Linked DNA regions of Saccharomyces cerevisiae S288C. Changing the gene in region 1 together with any one later gene gives a genetic interaction. Each region holds a gene or a part of one and is shown in the gene's direction. Other genes may lie near its edges. The genes, in order: ORC2, HAT1, RTT103 and RAD9.

Region 1 (5,604 bases):
TAAATACATCCGTTGATGAATTTTTTCAAGGCTGTTTTTTGAATAAATTGTGTATATCAGACAAATTGTCTCATTGGAATGAAGAGGAGAGAAACATAGCCGAATTTATGGCTTGTGGAAGTCTTCAAAGTTTCGACTCAGATGCCACTTATCATGACCTACCTTCTTCGGTTGCAGGCACTTCATCGTCCTTAGATCCTGTTCAAAGCCCGACGAACCCTCCCTACAAGAAAGCTTTGGAATTAAAAAGGAGCGGGAAACTCACTAGATCAGTTTGATTGCAATATTACTACCTCTAATCAAACAATTAAATAAGTCACTACATTATAAGATTATCTACAAAATCAACTTTTCCTTGCAATCATTAAAAACGATATAGGTTACGGTTATGTAGAATATCCATTGTATAATATAAAAGAAAATGAAACAGTAATTATATTATATTATATTACATGCAAGCATTGAGGAGTATGGCAATCATTTTTCTTCTTTTTTACTTCACCTCGTCTCTTAAAACATCTGCTTTCGAATTTGCGAGTAATAGAACTTTCGAATTGTGACAGAACCATTGAGAACATGGTGAATCTGTCAATATTACAACCCAAAAGCCGGTTGGTGGTAAACCGTAGTACGGAGCATTACAAAGGATTCCATCGTATAAATTATGCATAAGCATCACCTTGATCCATTTGCCTTGCTCCTATTGCCCTGCTTGTTTGTAGGAAAGCCCCTTTTGGTCAAACGAATTGTTCAGTTCGGGTTTACGCATTACATATCTCCTTTTTAGATACAAAAACCTCGAAACGCTCACATAAACCCGGTTGTTCTTTTGAGTACCTGGCCAATGGAGACATAGCTTGGGGTTAAGTAAAAGTGAAAGTCAGGTTGATACATGTGCCTTTTATTCCACCGAAGAAAGCTTATCCAACATAAGAGCATTATTTAATGGGCTTTCCAATTTATTATTGGCATACACTTCTTTCAAAAATTCGCCGGTCTCAACGGCAGCAAGTGCTCAGCAGATGGAAATTATACGTTAATACTTTTTCCAATGTGATATAACGAAAAATTAGATACTGTGAATTGTGTTTGCCACCTTGATGTTGACTTAGTATTTCCTCTCGGTTGTAAAAGCCAAGAAGGTTTGACTGTTCGTCAATTAAGGTTCTTACGTGGGTTGTGCTAGATACGACGCGAATCAGTATGGTTTCTATCTGCCAATCATATCGGTTCTCTTCCATGGGCTAGAACAGATGAATTCTAGCTCTTTTTTAGCTGGACCAGTAAGGTTCAAATGGTATTTGATAATAGAGAATCACATATCTCCTTGTCCATTTCTGAAAGTATTAATTCAGTCATATCCAACTAGTCACAAACATCCGCATAGGCTTGATAAAACTCACAAGTGGCAGATTCCGAATTATGTGTCATATTGGGGTCATATTAGGACCTTCATTTCAGAATTGCTTCTGCTCCAATAAACTTTTTTTGATCCAAAAATCGTCTGATATAACGGGCGATGTCAATTGAATAATAAAACGGGTTCTATCTATTTTCTTGATCTTTGAAACCAAAACAGTTAGCAGGCAAGTGCAAACAAGTTGTCAATTGCACTCTGTTAACGAAAAAAATATATCTCATCTCCGCCGGTCTTCTTTGGTGGATATATATTACTCCTCCTTAAAGGTCATGCTCCTTTTTATGGGTTCTCGTCGTAATAATCCTGAAATTGTAAAATAATTTAGAGCTCAACACCACCATTGAGAACGTAGAATTTCAATTTTTAAGCTGATTCTCTTTCTGCATGAACTCTCCTAGCAATGTGAAACTTCTCTTAAGGGAAATTTTCGCCTTTTTGAATGGGCATACTTGGCCAAAAATTCAGGATTGAATATATATAATCGGAACTTGTATGGATAAAAATTTATATCAAGAGTCTGTTTCTTAATTGGATTTGCTGTGATCTAGTATTGAGATGACTATAAACCGGCCAGGAAATTAGTCTTTTCGAAGCTGGTTTTGGTTTCGCAAGAGTCTTTTTGACAGCTTTTTGGCCTCAATTTGTATTCCCTTAATACGCTTCTTCAACTCTGTCTTAGAGACCATTTCTCCAGTGGCCTCATCTAGGTGTAAACTAGCAATAGCGTCACTAGCTGCCGTGACATTAACTTGCTGTGGCACCTTTATATGTAATATGAACCATCTTTCAATGGATCATAAGAATAAGTGTCGTAAAAGGCCAAATATCCATGCATAAATATCGACTTATTCGCGTAAATGTGATATGGATCAGCTAGTACCAATTTCTAGTCTAGCAAAATCGGGAAAATTTTTCAGAACACCCACTCACCGCATCATTGAGGTGGAAATGACAATAGTAAGCAGAATTGTTATTCTTCACAATGTGTAAAAGTTATAAAGAAATAGGAACCACCTTTAAATTAAGACAAAGTAGAATATATTAGCTGAAATTGTATTTGATAATTGATCATTGATCTTATTTGCTATATCTTTAAAACAAGTTTTTGTAGTACTGCGAATTGCCATAACATGCTAAATGGGGAAGACTTTGTAGAGCATAATGATATCCTATCGTCTCCGGCAAAAAGCAGGAATGTAACCCCAAAAAGGGTTGACCCACATGGAGAAAGACAACTGAGAAGAATTCATTCATCAAAGAAGAATTTGTTGGAAAGAATCTCGCTTGTAGGCAACGAAAGGAAAAATACATCTCCAGATCCGGCACTCAAACCTAAAACGCCAAGTAAAGCTCCCCGTAAACGTGGAAGACCAAGAAAGATACAGGAAGAATTAACTGATAGGATCAAGAAGGATGAGAAAGATACAATTTCCTCTAAGAAAAAGAGGAAATTGGACAAAGATACATCAGGTAATGTCAATGAGGAAAGCAAGACTTCTAACAACAAGCAGGTGATGGAAAAGACGGGGATAAAAGAGAAAAGAGAACGCGAAAAAATACAGGTAGCGACCACAACATATGAAGATAATGTGACTCCACAAACTGATGATAATTTTGTATCAAATTCACCCGAGCCACCAGAACCTGCAACACCATCTAAGAAGTCTTTAACCACTAATCATGATTTTACTTCGCCCCTAAAGCAAATTATAATGAATAATTTAAAAGAATATAAAGACTCAACCTCCCCAGGTAAATTAACCTTGAGTAGAAATTTTACTCCAACCCCTGTACCGAAAAATAAAAAGCTCTACCAAACTTCGGAAACCAAGTCAGCAAGCTCGTTTTTGGATACTTTTGAAGGATATTTCGACCAAAGAAAAATTGTCAGAACTAATGCGAAGTCAAGGCACACCATGTCAATGGCACCTGACGTTACCAGAGAAGAGTTTTCCCTAGTATCAAACTTTTTCAACGAAAATTTTCAAAAACGTCCCAGGCAAAAGTTATTTGAAATTCAGAAAAAAATGTTTCCCCAGTATTGGTTTGAATTGACTCAAGGATTCTCCTTATTATTTTATGGTGTAGGTTCGAAACGTAATTTTTTGGAAGAGTTTGCCATTGACTACTTGTCTCCGAAAATCGCGTACTCGCAACTGGCTTATGAGAATGAATTACAACAAAACAAACCTGTAAATTCCATCCCATGCCTTATTTTAAATGGTTACAACCCTAGCTGTAACTATCGTGACGTCTTCAAAGAGATTACCGATCTTTTGGTCCCCGCTGAGTTGACAAGAAGCGAAACTAAGTACTGGGGCAATCATGTGATTTTGCAGATCCAAAAGATGATTGATTTCTACAAAAATCAACCTTTAGATATCAAATTAATACTTGTAGTGCATAATCTGGATGGTCCTAGCATAAGGAAAAACACTTTTCAGACGATGCTAAGCTTCCTCTCCGTCATCAGACAAATCGCCATAGTCGCCTCTACAGACCACATTTACGCTCCGCTCCTCTGGGACAACATGAAGGCCCAAAACTACAACTTTGTCTTTCATGATATTTCGAATTTTGAACCGTCGACAGTCGAGTCTACGTTCCAAGATGTGATGAAGATGGGTAAAAGCGATACCAGCAGTGGTGCTGAAGGTGCGAAATACGTCTTACAATCACTTACTGTGAACTCCAAGAAGATGTATAAGTTGCTTATTGAAACACAAATGCAGAATATGGGGAATCTATCCGCTAACACAGGTCCTAAGCGTGGTACTCAAAGAACTGGAGTAGAACTTAAACTTTTCAACCATCTCTGTGCCGCTGATTTTATTGCTTCTAATGAGATAGCTCTAAGGTCGATGCTTAGAGAATTCATAGAACATAAAATGGCCAACATAACTAAGAACAATTCTGGAATGGAAATTATTTGGGTACCCTACACGTATGCGGAACTTGAAAAACTTCTGAAAACCGTTTTAAATACTCTATAAATGTATACATATCACGAACAATTGTAATAGTACTAGGCTTGCTAGCTTTGCTTTCCCATAACCAACAATACTTAGTGATGTATCTTAAAACGACTAAAAAACTTCTCATATAACCCTACTGAAAAACGTCTGATGAGCTCTTCGAAAATTCAGACGAGTTATGACCTATATTTGTTTTTCATTTTTTTTAGGTGAACCCCGCCATTCTGAAAATGCCCTATTCAGAGCTCAATAACCGAAAAAACTTAAAAATACTGAATAAAAGCCATAATCCTATGAACCCCCTTTCTTGAATGAGTAAATTCAATAGCATTGTTGAATCAGAATCGGTGCCTCGGGAGCATAAGCAACACAGGACATCATAGAGATAATTTTAGTTGCCATTCATTTTTTGCTATTACGTTTTCCCAAGCTCTTGTTTTCGTCCCTGTCGCCTGTTATTTTCTTTCTAATTAGCACTGATCATGTCGATCACGAATGGTACTTCTAGAAGCGTTTCGGCAATGGGCCATCCGGCGGTAGAGAGGTACACTCCAGGCCATATTGTCTGCGTAGGCACACATAAAGTTGAAGTGGTAAATTATTTAGCAGAAGGTGGCTTTGCTCAAATTTACGTGGTGAAATTCCTAGAGTATCTTAATGAATTTGATAATACAGCAAGTGTTCCCTTAAAGATTGGCGATGTCGCATGTCTGAAAAGAGTATTAGTTCAAGATGAGAATGGATTGAACGAGATGAGAAATGAAGTGGAGGTAATGAAGAAATTGAAAGGGGCCCCAAATATAGTACAATACTTCGATTCCAACGCCTCTCGCCGTCGTGATGGCGTTCAAGGATTTGAGGTTCTTTTGCTAATGGAATTGTGTCCAAACAAATCTTTGCTAGATTATATGAACCAACGATTGTCAACGAAACTGACAGAAGCTGAAATTGTGAAAATTATGTATGACGTTGCTCTTTCTATCTCTCAAATGCACTACCTTCCTGTGTCCTTGATCCATCGCGATATCAAGATTGAAAATGTCTTGGTAGATGCCAAAAACAATTTCAAGCTAGCTGATTTTGGGTCCACGTCGACATGTTTCCCAATTGTCACTACTCATCAAGATATTGCTCTTTTGACTCAAAACATCTATGTGCATACTACTCCGCAGTATAGGTCCCCTGAAATGATTGACCTTTACAGATGTC
Region 2 (4,833 bases), on another chromosome or scaffold:
CTTTTCACTCGGCTGCAACGAGCGGGGTTGTAAGAGCTAAGCTTTCTAGCCTAGCAATGAAATAGAAGGACAAGTCAGACGATTGACGTCAAAAAAATGAGTCGCCTCTCTTTCTTTCTTAGGCCAACTAGACAGCCGTAGATGAAAATATGGAAAGATATGATAGACAGCTGAGACTATGGGGAGCATTGGGCCAAGATAGTTTGAACCGGTCCCGTGTGTGCGTGGTAGGACCTGCTACACCTTTGCTGCAGGAAGTTTTTAAGAATCTGGTGCTTGCCGGAATATCATCTCTTACTTGGCTCAAAGTAGAGTGTGCAGTTCAATCGGGTTCTCTGTTTTTAGCAGAGCTTAAAAAAGATCTTGAGCCATTGGCTTCTAAACAGCTAGAATATGAGGAAAATGACCTTAGAAAGACGTTACAGCAACCTCAGTATGATTGGACCCGCTTCTCGGTGGTGATCTTGACTTGTATTGGTGAGCAAACTGCGATGCTCGATTTAAATGAGATTAGGCGGCAGAGAGGAACAAAGTTTCCGCCTGTTCTAAACACTTTCGTCTCTGGATTTTATGGATATATATATCTGGTACTCTCAGAAACACATTTTGTTTTGCAAGCACACCCAGATAGTAAGAAGTATGATTTACGGTTACAGAACCCTTGGCCTGAACTAATAAATTACGTAGATACATTTGACCTAAGTAAAATGGATACAGCCACGTTTTCTGGTATTCCATATACTGTTTTGCTCATGAAGTGTATTGCAAAACTTGAAAGGGATGGTAATAATGGGAGGATAACGATTGATCAGATGAAGAAAGTTTTAGACCAAATTTGCCTTCCTTTAGGGAATGATGTTATCTACGAACCCAATTATGTGGAAGCTAAACGCTATGCTTACTTGGCCTGCTCTCAAAATGATTGTTGTAAAGAACTGGAAGATCTGCTCCGAAATTTGGAAATATCAGATTATGGGAACGATTGGCATGATACTTATAACTACGAGATTCTCACACTATTATTGACTTTGAAAAATATTGCTAAAGAGAATGGGGAGCTCAGCTTTCAACCTTTAACGGGCACTCTCCCAGATATGGAGTCAACAACGGAAAATTATATCAGACTCAAGAAACTGTATGAAGTAAAAGCAAAGCTTGACAAGTCTCGTGTGGAGGAAAGTTTGGCTCGCAGTAAAAAAATAGTTTCACAGGATGTCTTGGAGACATTTTGTTCTCATTACGGGGAGGTCAGGAAAATATTGCCGCCAAAAAGTGACTTGTTAGGTATTTTTAGCACCTCGAATGCCCTTTTAGATGCATTAGTTATGGTCCAATTCTGGGAGCAACCGGCAGTAACTGCAGAGGATAAAGATGAGTTTATTGGTTTACGAGTCGACGATAACTATTCCGTAATGGCCTTTTTTGGAGGTGCAGTGGTTCAAGAGGCTATAAAGCTTATCACACACCATTACGTTCCTATTGATAACCTATTTTTATATAATGGCATTAATAATTCATCCGCAACATATAAAATATAAAATTTTTTCGTCAGCTCTCCGAGTTCATAGAATGCTTATTTTATTGTACTTCCCTGGTTTGCGTTGATGCAAATAAAGACTAAATGTAAACTTTTATGATGCATATGATATCGAATGTTTACAACAACGAGAGATCACCGGTAAGAACTGTGCTCAATAAAATACAACATCGATAAATACTTAACGCTCATCCACCATTCCTGTTCAAGTCAACTATCTCACAGTTGCCTCGTAATCCAAGAGGGATCCCAATACAACGCCTCTGCACCACCTTGATAATCAATCCACAATAAACCGTTAGCGACCATTTCATCAAGAGCAGATTTACTCCTAACAGCCTCCCATCCCAAGTTTGCCTTTAATAAAGAGATACTTGAGTAGCCCAGAATTGAGCATATTTCCAAAATCTTTGTTTGATCTGATGTCAACTCATTTGGAACACTTCGTAAAAACTTTTTGCCGCGAATTTGAAATATCTCAAAACACTCTAGGCTCTTTAGCATGTCGATAGATTTTTCCAAATCATCGAGTCCAACATTCAGCTTACGAAAATGCACCTTCTCCAACTCTTGAAAAGAAATGACGCCTCCATTCATATCTTTAGTTTGCCGACAAATTTCTATAACTTTAAGACATACTTCATAATAAAAATCATTCACTGTAAATAAGTGCTTATCTCGATCAAATAAAGATAGGGGATCAATCCCAATAGATGAGCACATATGCATGAATTTTGAGCGGAATTCAGGTGAAGCTTGAAGCTCGCTATTGTGTTTCTTGGCAAATTCTACCAGTCGTTCTTGGAATACCATTAATTGGTCCCTTAGTTCGACAGATTGCTTTTCAAGTATGGTTTTGTTTACGTCATTGTACTTTCCATCCTTCAACTCGTCAAAGGCTGCCAGTCCAAACTGTTTCATGTTAGTGAGTTTCGAAGTTGGCTGTTACGCCAAGCATTTTCAAGTCGTGGTAAAGTCTTTGGTCTACTGCATCGCCTCAAAAGGTTATAATATATCCCAGAATTGATGGATTAAGTTCTTGAAATAGCACACCGTTATAAGTGATAAATATATTGTCTTCGAATAACGAATTTATTAGATTTCTATGTATTTCTACTTGAAGTTAGGAATAGATCTTTCTGGAATTGTTTTCAGCAAAATTATGCTTAAGCTATAACTATAGTGAGAATCAAGAATATGTCTGCCAATGATTTCAAGCCTGAAACGTGGACTTCAAGCGCCAACGAAGCCTTAAGAGTTTCTATAGTTGGAGAAAACGCTGTTCAGTTTTCACCATTATTCACGTATCCAATTTACGGTGACTCCGAAAAGATCTACGGCTATAAGGATCTCATCATCCACCTAGCATTTGATTCAGTAACATTCAAGCCGTATGTTAACGTCAAGTATTCAGCAAAATTAGGAGACGACAATATTGTAGACGTGGAAAAAAAATTACTCTCATTTCTACCAAAGGATGATGTAATTGTTAGGGATGAAGCTAAATGGGTAGATTGCTTTGCAGAAGAACGAAAAACACATAATTTATCTGATGTTTTTGAAAAAGTATCAGAGTATTCGTTGAATGGGGAAGAATTTGTTGTATATAAATCGAGTTTGGTTGACGATTTTGCCAGGAGAATGCATCGTCGTGTTCAAATCTTTTCATTACTTTTTATCGAAGCCGCTAACTATATAGATGAGACTGACCCGAGTTGGCAAATCTATTGGTTGTTGAACAAGAAAACAAAAGAATTGATTGGTTTCGTCACTACTTACAAGTATTGGCACTACCTTGGAGCAAAATCTTTCGATGAGGATATAGATAAAAAATTCAGAGCCAAAATATCTCAATTTCTGATCTTTCCACCTTATCAAAATAAAGGCCACGGATCCTGTCTTTATGAGGCTATAATCCAATCTTGGCTAGAAGACAAAAGTATTACTGAAATTACTGTAGAGGATCCAAACGAAGCATTTGACGATCTTCGCGACAGGAATGATATTCAAAGACTGCGAAAACTTGGTTATGATGCTGTCTTTCAGAAGCACTCCGACCTTTCTGATGAGTTTTTGGAGTCAAGCCGAAAATCTTTAAAACTGGAAGAAAGACAGTTTAATCGTCTTGTGGAAATGCTTCTTCTTTTAAACAATTCTCCATCATTTGAATTAAAGGTAAAGAATAGGTTGTACATTAAAAATTATGATGCCCTAGATCAAACTGATCCAGAAAAGGCAAGAGAAGCTTTACAAAATTCATTTATTTTAGTCAAAGATGATTATAGGCGTATTATAGAGTCGATAAATAAATCTCAAGGTTAACTGTTTATTAAATATATAATAACATATTTATTTGTTTAACAAGCCTGAAATAAGAAATTCTTTTATAAATACATCATCGAGATGATCATCAAAGTGTCTCTATAGTTAATATAAGCTTATGCAAAGGTTGAAGCCGTTATGTTGTCGTAATTCTAAATTACAGGTTATATTAAAGAGATTATCTTGACTGATATAAAATTTCTTATCATGGTAGTGATCACAAATAGATCACATGATATATTTTTTATTTTTAATTTTTTTTAATTATAAAAATAATTTTTTTCTTTAAATTAAACAAAAATAAAAAATTGTTTTTTGTTGGTTAAGATTTCCGAAAATAGAAATATTATTCAGTTGAAAGACAAAAAAACATAAATATTTCTATGAGCAAACAATTTGAACAGAAAAATAAAATTGGGGAAGTGACACACCATGGTAGCGGTTCTAAAGCGAAATCGGCAAAGCGGCTAAATAGCAGTTTTGATGACTTACTCCACACTGAAAATGGATGACCTTAAATAGGAGATAAAGCTTTTTCATCCCTATGTATTTAAGATGACTGGCTTGTCAAGCATTCTAATCATAAAAAAAAGATCGTATTTGATCAAGAATTTATACATAGACGCCGCTAAATAATTGAATACAAAATGGTACAAAGGCTTCTACCGGGCGCACATATATGCAGAAGGTCCTTCAATTCGTCTGCAATTATAAAGTCTTCTGCATTGACTCTCAAGGAAGCATTAGAAAACGTGATACCTAAGAAAAGAGATGCTGTGAAGAAATTGAAGGCCTGTTATGGCAGCACGTTTGTCGGACCGATTACCATTTCATCAGTTCTAGGTGGGATGAGAGGTAATCAGTCAATGTTTTGGCAAGGAACATCATTAGATCCCGAACATGGCATTAAATTTCAAGGTTTAACGATTGAAGAATGTCAAAATAGATTACCTAATACAGGTATTGATGGCGAT
Region 3 (4,869 bases), on another chromosome or scaffold:
GTCACGTTCAAAATTTATTGGCAGTTCGAAAGCAGCGCATTGTATGTGTCCTTCCAGTATCAAAATGTTATTGAAATCAAGAACCAAATCTTGATAAGATTCGAAATTATTAACCTCCAGCAAGGATTCTGGATGAGCAACATAATGTTGATCAACAGGCGAGTCACTTGCAACCACGAGGGTTAAAGAATCATTATTTCTTCTTCCAGCTCTACCACTTTGTTGATGAAAATTCGCCATTGATAGTGGGAAACCGCACATCAAGACTGCGTCTAGTCCACCGATATCAATACCAAGTTCTAGAGCATTGGTAGATATGACAGCCTTTAAATTTCCGTGAAACATCTCACGTTCTATTTTACGTCTGTCGGAAGCAGAATAACCACCCCTGTAAGACATGACTTCTGTAACCAGATCCTCACGCCCAGTTTCAATAAAAATATTGCGAACTTCTTTCATCAACAATTCACAAACACGACGAACGTAGCAAAATGCTATGGTTCTTACGTTGTTCAATATCAATTGTACCAATATCTTTGCACTCTCTCTAATGAAATTTTCTCGTTTACGTTCGTGTTGAGGTAAAATTGGAGGATTCCACACCACTAGATGCTTAGCACCTGTAGGTGAGCCATCCTCGTGTATTAGCGTAACCTCATTAATTCCAAACATGTCCTTCATATGTTGTACTGGAGACTTTAAAGTTGCAGAACATGAAATAAATTGTAAACCACTATTTTCGTAAAAACAGTGGCACAGTCTTAGTAAACGTCTCATCACTAATGCCACGTGCGATCCAAATAAACCCTTATATATATGCAATTCATCGACCACCACTAACTTTAGATGGTACAAAAAATGTCTCCAATTTGCATGATTAGGTAAAATGCTGGTATGTATCATGTCAGGATTGGTAAAAATAACTCTAGCATTTTTACGAATATAAGCTCTTTCCTCTGGCTCCGTATCGCCGTCATACGTATCAACCACGGCATTCTTTAGCTCGGGGATCTTTGAAAGTATTACCTTGAATGCTCTTTTTTGATCTTGTGCCAGGGCCTTTGTTGGAAATATATACATAAACGTTGATTCAGGATCCTTTAAAAGAAGATCGATAGCTGCTAGTTGGTAAATAAGGGATTTACCTGAAGAGGTCGATGTTGTAATAATGACGTTTTCGCCTTGATGAAGACTGTTTATCGCATCTGCTTGATGGCTGTAGAAATTTTCGTGTTCCATACCCTGATATACTTCCGGTGCAAGCTCAAAACAGAGACCTTTATACTTCGCTGTTCTTGATGGTATTGTAAAACAATGCTTTATCTGAGAAGCGTAGAATTCAGTACTTTTTAATTTCTCAATCATTTGAGGAATTGTTGTTATCACTGAATTATTGGAATAATTGGGAATGCTCATCTCATTACTTTCTTGCTTCGCCTTCATCATTGCCTCAATAGGATCCTCATAATCTCTCTCCCTTGGAATATATTTCTGCGCTAGATTTGTTAACTCAGAAAATGGGTCAAGGTTAGCCTTTTCCTTTTCCAGGATAAATTCCCGTAGTCTGGATTTAAAGAGAGCTTCCCTTTTAGAAATCATCTTTTTCATTTCCTCCGTAGTATATGTTGGTATCTTTATTTGAGAAAATCTATCACTTGCAGACCATGAGCGTTGCATTGTACCGTCTATAAATTCAAATATAAGTAACTGAGTAGATTTTTGAGTCTGATTTTGGTCATCAACGTCCTTCAGTTCAAATATGTCATTTTCCTTCTGCTGAAAGCCGCCATTATTGAAGTCAAAAATCTTAGTTTCAGTATAAATTTGGTTCTCATCAATATACTTGAAAACACATTCTCTTGGCATTAGCGCCATAACCATGGCTAGGTCTTCTTTCGTCACAGTTCTTTTCAAAGCAGTTTCTATAGGTCCACAAAGTGTTTTAAATGTAGGCACAACATGCTTTCTGCAAATCAAAAAGGTGTAAAGAGTATTAAGGCGGAAAAAAAATTGTTCAAAATTTCTAAAGGCATCGGTCTTTCCACTCCCTTGACCTGCTGACTTCAGTTTCTTTTTGATAGGTCCTTCCTCCATTTTTCCTTCTCAAATGAACATTTCTTTTCTACGACCTTAACCATCTCAATATGTATAACGGTTCTGTTTTATAACGAAAAATGAAAAAGTTATTTTTTTCCTTTAAAAATATATAAACTTGAAAAGCCAACATAATAATATAAGTACAAGCGAAGAAGGTTTTAACGAAGAGGTAGAAAATTTGAAGAAAGCAATAATCCAAGATTAAAATAGACGGTATGCCTTTCTCTTCTGAGCAATTCACAACCAAATTAAATACGTTGGAAGATTCCCAAGAATCTATTTCCAGTGCCTCAAAGTGGTTGCTTCTACAGTATAGAGATGCTCCCAAAGTGGCAGAAATGTGGAAAGAATACATGTTAAGGCCTAGTGTAAACACAAGAAGGAAGTTATTGGGTCTTTACTTAATGAATCATGTTGTTCAACAGGCTAAAGGTCAAAAAATTATTCAATTTCAAGATTCCTTTGGAAAGGTGGCAGCAGAAGTATTGGGAAGAATTAATCAAGAGTTTCCGAGGGACCTAAAAAAGAAGTTGTCAAGAGTTGTGAATATACTAAAAGAAAGAAATATATTTTCCAAGCAGGTAGTCAATGACATAGAAAGAAGTCTTAAAACCGAGAGCTCACCAGTGGAAGCGTTGGTGTTACCCCAGAAATTGAAAGATTTTGCTAAGGACTATGAAAAATTAGTGAAAATGCACCATAATGTTTGCGCGATGAAAATGAGATTTGACAAATCATCAGATGAATTGGATCCATCCAGCTCAGTTTACGAGGAAAATTTTAAAACAATAAGTAAGATTGGGAACATGGCTAAAGATATAATAAATGAATCAATTCTAAAAAGAGAAAGCGGTATCCATAAACTGCAAAGCACACTGGACGATGAAAAAAGGCATCTAGATGAGGAACAGAATATGTTAAGTGAAATAGAATTCGTTTTATCTGCTAAAGACCCATCCAGATTAAATAAAAACGTTGATGAAGACAATATTATTCCTACGTATGAAGTGGGGGATGGAGATGACGATGACGATGATGGTGATAATGATGATGATGATGATGATGATGATGATGACAAAAATTACGATGATAGATCCAATGACAGCAATTATGGCGTTACTAATATTAGCACCACAGATAAGAAGAATGAAGTTGTAGAAAAGACAGATAGCGAACATAAAAACTCTACTCATAATCCTAGTGACAATCAATTTGGTATGAAACGAACACATGATATGATAGGTCATGATGACGCTAATGACATACCGGAAAAAAAGGTTCATCTTGATTCGAAGACGAGTGAAGATGGTACTTTCAACAGTGAGGATGGACATTATGAGTTAGATATAGAAGGCCACGTCGGCGCCCAAACCGACGAAGGTGTTGAGAATTCCGGAGGGGTTTCTTCTAGTATACAAGACTTGTTAAGTAAGCTTGCAAATTAATATGATGGTTGAGTAAAAAGAAAACAAGGAGATAACTTATACAAATATATAGTAACCCGTTTAAGTCCAGTCTTTTTTCGTAACTATTTGCCCATAGTTTATTTCGTATTCATCTTCACTATTTCCTCGACAAAAAAGATGCGCACCTAAACTACATGGACACCTATGCAATGCTATATAGAATATGAATCGCCAATGCTTTTTATTATATCATCGTGCAAACTTTTAGTCTGCTCCTTTTCAAGGCCCATGATTTCTTGCACCAATTTTTCAAGAGACTCTAGTCCAAGCTCAGCCTGAGTTCTTCTACCTATCCTGTATGATATCACTTCCCCGTCGGTATCGGATTTCTCCTCCAATCTGACTATATATTCGCGCTTTTCTAAACTTTTTATCAAATCTTCAATAGTAATGTTCAGTATAGCAATCTTTGAACCATCGCTTGGAATGCCAAATGTCTCTAGAAATTTGATCAATTCCTGATGTAATATGTTATTCTTAGAGAAGAAAACAATGCATAAAATGACGCTCAAAACACCCTTGTAAACAAGATCTCGATCTGTACTCAACTTGCTTTCTAAGGTATTGGAAGTTCCTGAAGCTATATCGTCACCAATATACTCTCCGGTAACTATTAGCTCTTCATAAGTGTGAGCGCTTTGTAAAATCTTGAAATCGTCAAAATTTTTTGAGTGCGGGACATTGTTTAGCAAGATAAATTTCTGGGCTCTATGTCCCAGTGGCTCAGGCATTGATTTATTTGTATTGCTATTGCTTCCATTACCGCCAGCGTTCATATTATTTTTTGACGGCAATCCTTGTAATTCAAACCCATATACGTTATACAGTATAGCATTTATGTCCATAAACATTTTACTAAAAGACGGTTTTGCTATGTTTTCCTCGCGAGCAGCTTCATGTATAACAGATTGTAACTTGTTTCTTGTTATGATCGAATTTTGAGATTCTCCTCTCGATAAAATATACCTAACCATTTTTCTAGCTACAGGATTCTCTTTAACGATCTTGGCCACGGCTAAATCTTCTGTTAAATCCACATCGCTGTCATTATCTATAGAACTCATGCTAATGAGAAGCTTATGTTTATCGAACAACCTTCCCTTGTAGCATACTGATATAGGACCCCTTCAATCGAAGTTGATAATAAGCGCATTACTCTTCATTGAAATTTTTCTTCACGTATATCGCGCTGTTAAAGGAGAGGGCCGCATGCATGTAATACTTGCTATTCTTGAGTCAGAAGCCCACACTAAGTGACCTGTGAAATCAAGTTGCTGCTTCAAGATATCGTCCTGTACTGGAAAAA
Region 4 (7,680 bases), on another chromosome or scaffold:
GATCGCTCATATTAAGGACGCCTGAAAAAGACATGCGTCTACATTTTGTGTCATTCCCATAAGAATAGTAAGAACAGGCATTTTTATAAATCGATACAAAAAAAGAGCTACTATACGTACATAAAGTCAGTAAATAATCAAATGTTCCCAATGAAAGATCACTCAGCTCTTGAACAACATACTCTCAGCAGAGATGAGTTAAGACGTCGCAAGGGTTACAAGAAAGGACTGCAGTTGTCAATTTTGTTACTTGGAGAAAAAGGCAGCGGCAAATCAACGTTTTTAAACAATCTGTGCGGTCAGGATATATCGCTTTCTGATGGGGATTATGATGATGATGATGATAAAGTGACAAATAATGTAACACCAGAAAATGGAAACGCCATCGAAGATATAGATCCTGGATATAAAACAGCCCATTTGAGTCCTGGGCTGAAGCTTGTCACCAGAAGAGTGTATTTGAACGATGAACTAGGCGTACCCATAACATTAGATATCATATTGTTTCCAGGCTGCGGTGACAATGTCGACAATTCACAAAGCTCTGTTGTTATAAAAAACTACTTAGACCAACAGTTTGCAAATGTTTTAAAAGAAGAGGTCAGAATAAAGAGAAACACAAAAGAAACTGATGGGAGGCCTCATGTTTGTTTATACTTTCTGAAGAGTACTCCAAGAGGAGTCAAAAAATTTGATATTGAGTTAATGAAAACGATTTGTGATAAAGTTAATTTAATTCCCATTATTCCAAAAGCCGATGGTCTCACAGAAACTGAATTAAATTTACACAAAGACATTGTGCGCCAAGAAATCTCTCAGAACAATATACGTGTTTTTGATTTTAAAAGTGACACCCTAGGCGAAACATTAGCTCTGTACGATATGGACATCGATTCCAGTTCAGCAAAATCCAAATACGATAATGACACGAAGATCAAGGAAATATCGCCATTTGCCATTGTTTGCAGCAAAACTTTTAATAAAAATTCGGAAAATAGGGTTGAGCATATCAGAACGTACGAATGGGGTAGCTTGGTGGTCGAAGACCAAAACACCTCCGATTTTATATACTTAAAAGCAATACTGTTAGGTTCTCACCTTCAGGAATTAAAAGATGTAACAAACAACGTATTGTATGAAAATTATAGGGCTAAAGTGTTAACTGAGAAGAAAAACAACTATGATATTCCAAACTATAGCTATATCGACGAAACCTCAAGGGGAAGTGTCAGCAATGTTTCCACCAGAAGAAATAGTGCAAGTAGAACACTTGGGAATCCAGATACAAACGATGAAAATGCTTATCAAATACACAAAGAAATAGACGAAAAAAACAGAATTATTGAAGACTATCAAAGGAAGATTGATTTATTGGAGAAAATGTTGGCAGCTCCCCATCAAAATAAGGTCTAAATAAATATACGGCCTTGTTAGCGTTAGATACATATGAAATAAAATTTTATTGCTTTTTCAAGTGCACTAAAGTATAAGGCAAAATTTTTTTAATCTATAATATACTTTCTCGATGTGTCTCTATATAACCTTGTGTCTTTCTTATTACTGGCACGGCTTTGAATTTTCAGAGTGCAGTTCTGATTAAACACGCGAGGATTTTTGTTCGTGGATATTTGCAACGATGAGCAATGTGAAGTGAGCAAGATAGAGAAACGCCATAGAAAAGAGCATAGTGAGAAAATCTTCAACATCAGGGCTATGTCAGGCCAGTTAGTTCAATGGAAAAGCTCTCCAGATCGAGTCACCCAAAGCGCTATAAAGGAAGCACTGCATTCTCCCTTGGCTGATGGCGACATGAACGAAATGAATGTTCCCGTTGATCCGTTGGAAAACAAGGTAAATAGCACAAACATAATCGAAGGAAGTCCCAAAGCAAATCCAAATCCTGTCAAGTTTATGAATACAAGTGAGATATTTCAAAAATCTCTGGGATTACTTGACGAGAGTCCAAGACATGATGATGAGTTAAATATTGAAGTAGGAGATAATGATCGACCAAATGCTAACATATTGCATAATGAAAGGACTCCTGACCTTGACCGAATTGCTAACTTTTTCAAAAGCAATCGAACCCCTGGTAAAGAAAATCTTTTGACCAAATATCAAAGCTCCGATCTGGAAGACACTCCTCTGATGTTAAGAAAAAAAATGACTTTTCAAACTCCAACTGATCCATTGGAACAGAAAACCTTCAAAAAGTTGAAGTCAGATACTGGGTTTTGCTATTATGGAGAGCAGAATGATGGAGAAGAAAATGCGTCATTAGAAGTTACAGAGGCGGATGCCACTTTTGTACAGATGGCTGAACGTTCTGCTGATAATTATGACTGTGCATTGGAAGGAATTGTTACACCTAAAAGATATAAAGACGAATTAAGTAAAAGTGGAGGAATGCAAGATGAACGAGTTCAAAAAACTCAAATCATGATATCAGCAGAATCACCTAATTCGATAAGCTCTTATGACAAGAACAAAATTACCGGGAATGGCCGGACCACAAGAAATGTAAACAAGGTTTTTAACAATAACGAAGATAACATAGGAGCTATCGAGGAAAAAAATCCAGTAAAAAAGAAAAGTGAGAACTATTCATCAGATGATCTCAGAGAACGGAACAATCAAATAATACAAAGTAATGAATCAGAGGAGATTAACGAATTGGAAAAGAATCTGAATGTTTCGGGTAGAGAGAATGACGTGAACAATTTAGATATCGATATTAATAGTGCTGTGTCTGGCACCCCTTCACGCAACAATGCGGAAGAAGAAATGTATTCCAGTGAGAGTGTAAACAATCGGGAACCATCCAAGAAGTGGATATTCCGATACTCAAAAGACAAAACGGAAAATAATAGCAATAGATCTACGCAAATAGTCAATAATCCAAGAACACAGGAAATGCCTTTAGATAGTATTTCAATCGATACGCAACCCTTATCTAAAAGTTTCAATACCGAAACAAATAATGAATTAGAGACACAGATAATTGTTTCATCGCTTTCCCAAGGCATATCTGCTCAGAAGGGACCTGTTTTTCATTCTACTGGCCAGACAGAAGAAATAAAAACCCAAATAATAAATTCTCCTGAACAAAATGCTTTGAATGCAACCTTTGAAACTCCCGTTACTCTTTCTCGGATTAATTTTGAACCCATATTGGAAGTTCCTGAGACTAGTTCACCATCTAAGAATACGATGTCAAAACCCTCGAATTCTTCACCTATTCCGAAGGAAAAAGATACATTTAATATACACGAGAGAGAAGTAGAGACAAACAATGTTTTTTCAAACGATATACAAAATTCTTCAAATGCAGCTACCAGAGATGACATTATCATAGCCGGTTCATCTGATTTCAACGAACAAAAGGAAATAACCGATAGAATATACTTACAACTTTCAGGAAAGCAAATATCTGATTCAGGAAGTGATGAAACAGAACGTATGTCCCCAAATGAGCTTGATACGAAAAAGGAAAGTACAATCATGAGCGAGGTTGAACTAACCCAAGAACTGCCTGAAGTTGAAGAGCAGCAAGATCTTCAAACGTCTCCAAAAAAGCTGGTAGTCGAGGAAGAAACTTTAATGGAGATAAAAAAAAGCAAGGGGAACTCACTTCAGCTTCATGATGATAATAAAGAATGCAATTCAGATAAACAAGATGGCACAGAGTCTTTGGATGTAGCTTTGATTGAACACGAAAGCAAAGGACAGAGCTCAGAACTTCAGAAAAACCTCATGCAATTATTTCCAAGTGAGTCACAGGAGATTATTCAGAACCGAAGAACAATAAAGCGACGTCAAAAAGATACAATAGAGATCGGTGAAGAGGAGGAGAACAGAAGCACTAAGACATCACCGACAAAACACCTCAAAAGAAATTCAGATTTGGATGCTGCTTCTATCAAAAGGGAACCGTCTTGCAGCATTACCATACAAACAGGGGAGACAGGTTCGGGCAAAGACTCTAAAGAACAGTCTTACGTGTTTCCTGAAGGTATTAGAACGGCAGATAATAGTTTCTTATCGAAAGACGACATAATTTTTGGAAATGCGGTATGGTGTCAGTATACGTGGAATTACAAATTTTATCCGGGTATTTTATTGGAAGTTGACACTAATCAAGATGGCTGTTGGATTTATTTCGAAACAGGAAGATCGCTAACCAAAGATGAGGACATCTACTACTTAGATATTAGAATAGGGGATGCTGTTACCTTTGATGGAAATGAGTACGTAGTCGTTGGTCTAGAATGTCGTAGCCATGATCTCAACATAATAAGATGTATTCGAGGATATGATACGGTTCATTTGAAAAAAAAAAATGCAAGCGGATTGTTGGGGAAAAGGACGTTAATTAAAGCACTAAGCTCGATCAGTCTTGACCTAAGCGAGTGGGCTAAAAGAGCGAAGATCATATTAGAAGATAATGAGAAAAATAAAGGCGACGCGTATAGGTACTTGAGACATCCCATTAGGGGAAGGAAATCAATGACCAATGTTCTGTCTCCGAAGAAACATACTGATGACGAAAAGGACATAAATACGCATACTGAAGTGTACAATAACGAAATAGAATCGAGCTCCGAAAAGAAGGAAATTGTTAAAAAGGATTCTAGAGACGCATTAGCTGAACATGCAGGAGCGCCAAGCCTGCTTTTTTCTTCTGGTGAAATCAGAACAGGGAATGTATTTGATAAATGTATTTTTGTTTTGACAAGCCTATTCGAAAATAGAGAGGAACTTCGACAGACCATTGAATCGCAAGGCGGCACTGTAATTGAGTCAGGATTTTCCACTTTATTTAACTTCACTCATCCGCTAGCTAAATCTTTAGTCAATAAAGGTAATACAGATAATATTCGAGAATTGGCCTTGAAGCTAGCCTGGAAACCTCATTCCCTATTTGCAGACTGCAGATTTGCTTGCCTAATCACAAAACGGCATTTAAGAAGCTTAAAGTACTTAGAAACTTTGGCGTTGGGGTGGCCTACACTACACTGGAAATTCATAAGTGCATGCATTGAAAAGAAAAGAATAGTACCACATTTAATATACCAATACCTATTACCTTCGGGTGAAAGTTTTCGGTTATCGTTAGATTCTCCATCAAAGGGAGGAATCATTAAATCCAACAATATTTTTTCATTTTATACACAATTCTTACGCGGATCTAATTTAAGAGATCAGATATGTGGAGTGAAGAAAATGTTAAATGACTACATTGTTATTGTTTGGGGTAGATCTGAGTTGGACAGTTTTGTCAAATTTGCTTTTGCATGTTTGAGCGCAGGTAGAATGCTTACAATTGATTTACCCAATATTGATGTAGATGATACAGAGCCATTGTTAAATGCCTTAGATTCTTTAGTACCCAGAATAGGATCAGAATTATCTAATCGAAAGTTAAAGTTTCTCATATATGCTAACGAAAATAATGGTAAATCTCAGATGAAGCTTCTCGAAAGATTGAGAAGTCAAATATCACTGAAATTTAAGAAATTTAATTACATATTTCACACTGAATCTAAAGAATGGCTAATTCAGACAATAATTAACGAGGACACTGGTTTTCACGATGATATTACGGACAATGATATATACAACACTATTTCTGAGGTTAGATGAAATTATAAAAATATATAAACTCATAATTGATAGAAAGGGACGATTAAATAAAAAAAAATTTAGAGATTCTTAATTAAGTCTAAGAACATCCTCCCACACGCCAGGAGTGGTTAATGTTCAAGATTGGTATTAGTTATACACGGTAACCAACAACGTTGGTAAGGTCTTTTTCTTCTATACATGAATTTTAAGATCAAGCATATATTTTAGGCTTGCATCTTGTAATGAACTAACTTTCATAAATAGCTTTTCTTTTTTGTATGAGGTATAAGATGAAAAATGTTAAACATGATACAGGATTTAATATAAAATGGACCAAAATAAGGAGCAATAACGAGATTCACCCCAATGGGTGAGATGAGAAACGCCAAGGTAGTGAAATATTTTTGTGCAACAATTTCAAAGATAAGATCGGTGTTCTCCCGCAGTAGTCCACTTCAGTCGCATGCATGGCTGTTTGATGAGAAATAAAATGAGATATTCAAAATCTCATCAGAAAGAGTTGAGTACTGGGACGACACATATCAGCAACGAGACATAATCGTCAACTGTTTCCCTTTAGATGATTTTCCAAAGTGTGGAAATCACTTGCCATCTTATCTAACATGTGACAATGAATGTAGTTTTCTTTAACATTGGTGAAAAATAACTTGGCAATAGTAACATATTTCAGAGATAATTGGTACTTTTCGGCAAATCCTTGCCCCTTTCCACCATTTTTATGTTTTGATGAATGATTTTCCCCGTAACGTAAAAGATTCAAAGTAGAAACAGTTTGATGCGAATCATTTAAGCCGCTGAAGTTAATACCTTCTAGGCCGGTATCCGATAGGAAATGTGCTGAACGAGGCAAGTCTGTCACTGCCCTGTCCCCATTATCAAAGGAAAATTCATTTCGAATAGGATCCTCCATATTCAAAAAAGAGGTATCGTTAAAAGAGTTAACTAGGATTTCATTAATAAACATTGCAAGCCCTTCAACATTGATCTTTTTGGCTAACTTAGTCTTAACAGCTGCACTTGCACCATTATGGTGTTCATTTGCGGATAAACCAGGGACAAGCATACCATTATCTTTATTTATAAATTGTTGCGTAAATACAACATCAGGAAATCCAGAAAACTCTTGCGGATACAATCTTGAAAGTGTGGGAAGTAAAATAGAATTCGCAAGGCTTCTCAACTCAATAAAAATTCTCAGTAACTTAAAATTTGGAGTTGCTTCAAAATCCAATAAAAATTTGATAATTAGGATGAAGCAATAGTAATAGCCTTGTAAATTGAAGACAGAAAGCGCTTGATTATTCAGGTGGATCCTTGGCAGCTCTGGAGAATTCATTCTTTGGGAGCAATCACTTTCTTCTTCTACGTATAAAGACGAAATATTACGGATTGAAAAGTTCAACGCTACTAAAAATTCACACAATACTTCAACTGAATAATTCTTCAAAAAATTCAACCTCACAGAGTTCAAAAAGGAATCATATATCTTTGCTATTTGTCCTTTTCTAACCTTCTCAGTAAACGAGCGATCAATCTGTTTGATGAATCTCATTGACATTAAATTATTTTTCAAAATTATGGTGTCATCAATTAAGATCGCAATATTTTTATTGGTTGCTGCCATATTATCATTGCCATAGGAAGAAGTGTCAAGACTCCTCTCTAGCCTTTTCGTATCGATTCGATCCAAAAACACATGTGATTTGGTTCCTTTTCTTAAATCGTATTCATAATAAATCATAGATGACCCTAAAAATTCTGGTATTGAGTGTAAGTGTCCATACGTGAAACTGTAATAAAAGTTTCTAAAATCATAAAAATTTTGCTTTTGCACAACATGCCCATTACATATTATCGATTCACTGGCCCATTTTGACTCATTGTCGGGAATATAAATGGTTTCAACATCTTTTTCCTTTATAGACAAATCGAATTTAATATGGAAGAAACATTTCAAGAACTGACAAAAATCATAAGCCATTAAGGTGCATCTAATTTTTGACTCAAAAATGATGTATTGAAGAGGAGAACCAA

What was found.
Region 2: mutations in ORC2 (region 1) and HAT1 together harm fitness more than expected from each alone (negative genetic interaction), as found in Saccharomyces cerevisiae (4 studies listed by BioGRID, with this or other methods).
Region 3: mutations in ORC2 (region 1) and RTT103 together harm fitness more than expected from each alone (negative genetic interaction), as found in Saccharomyces cerevisiae (3 studies listed by BioGRID, with this or other methods).
Region 4: mutations in ORC2 (region 1) and RAD9 together harm fitness more than expected from each alone (negative genetic interaction), as found in Saccharomyces cerevisiae (3 studies listed by BioGRID, with this or other methods).

The regions. Positions count from the first base shown.
Region 1 is NC_001134.8:359,461-365,064, reverse strand, and holds ORC2 (origin recognition complex subunit 2), read left to right. Parts: upstream 1-2,550; coding exon 2,551-4,413; downstream 4,414-5,604. Other genes in the region: tRNA methyltransferase TRM7, read left to right, coding at 1-278; serine/threonine protein kinase AKL1, read left to right, coding at 4,878-5,604. UniProt on the Saccharomyces cerevisiae protein: Component of the origin recognition complex (ORC) that binds origins of replication. It has a role in both chromosomal replication and mating type transcriptional silencing. Binds to the ARS consensus sequence (ACS) of origins of replication.
Region 2 is NC_001148.4:551,871-556,703, forward strand, and holds HAT1 (histone acetyltransferase catalytic subunit HAT1), read left to right. Parts: upstream 1-2,734; coding exon 2,735-3,859; downstream 3,860-4,833. Other genes in the region: ULA1 (Ula1p), read left to right, coding at 150-1,538; ESCRT-II subunit protein SNF8, read right to left, coding at 1,757-2,458; citrate (Si)-synthase CIT3, read left to right, coding at 4,507-4,833. UniProt on the Saccharomyces cerevisiae protein: Catalytic component of the histone acetylase B (HAT-B) complex. Acetylates 'Lys-12' of free histone H4 in the cytoplasm. The complex is also found in the nucleus, however it is not certain that it modifies histone H4 when packaged in chromatin.
Region 3 is NC_001136.10:1,036,953-1,041,821, reverse strand, and holds RTT103 (Rtt103p), read left to right. Parts: upstream 1-2,312; coding exon 2,313-3,542; downstream 3,543-4,869. Other genes in the region: HRQ1 (ATP-dependent 3'-5' DNA helicase), read right to left, coding at 1-2,094; Smc5-Smc6 complex subunit NSE3, read right to left, coding at 3,716-4,627. UniProt on the Saccharomyces cerevisiae protein: Involved in transcription termination by RNA polymerase II and in regulation of Ty1 transposition.
Region 4 is NC_001136.10:897,514-905,193, reverse strand, and holds RAD9 (chromatin-binding protein RAD9), read left to right. Parts: upstream 1-1,713; coding exon 1,714-5,643; downstream 5,644-7,680. Other genes in the region: septin SPR28, read left to right, coding at 142-1,413; DNA-binding transcription factor ADR1, read right to left, coding at 6,188-7,680. UniProt on the Saccharomyces cerevisiae protein: Essential for cell cycle arrest at the G2 stage following DNA damage by X-irradiation or inactivation of DNA ligase.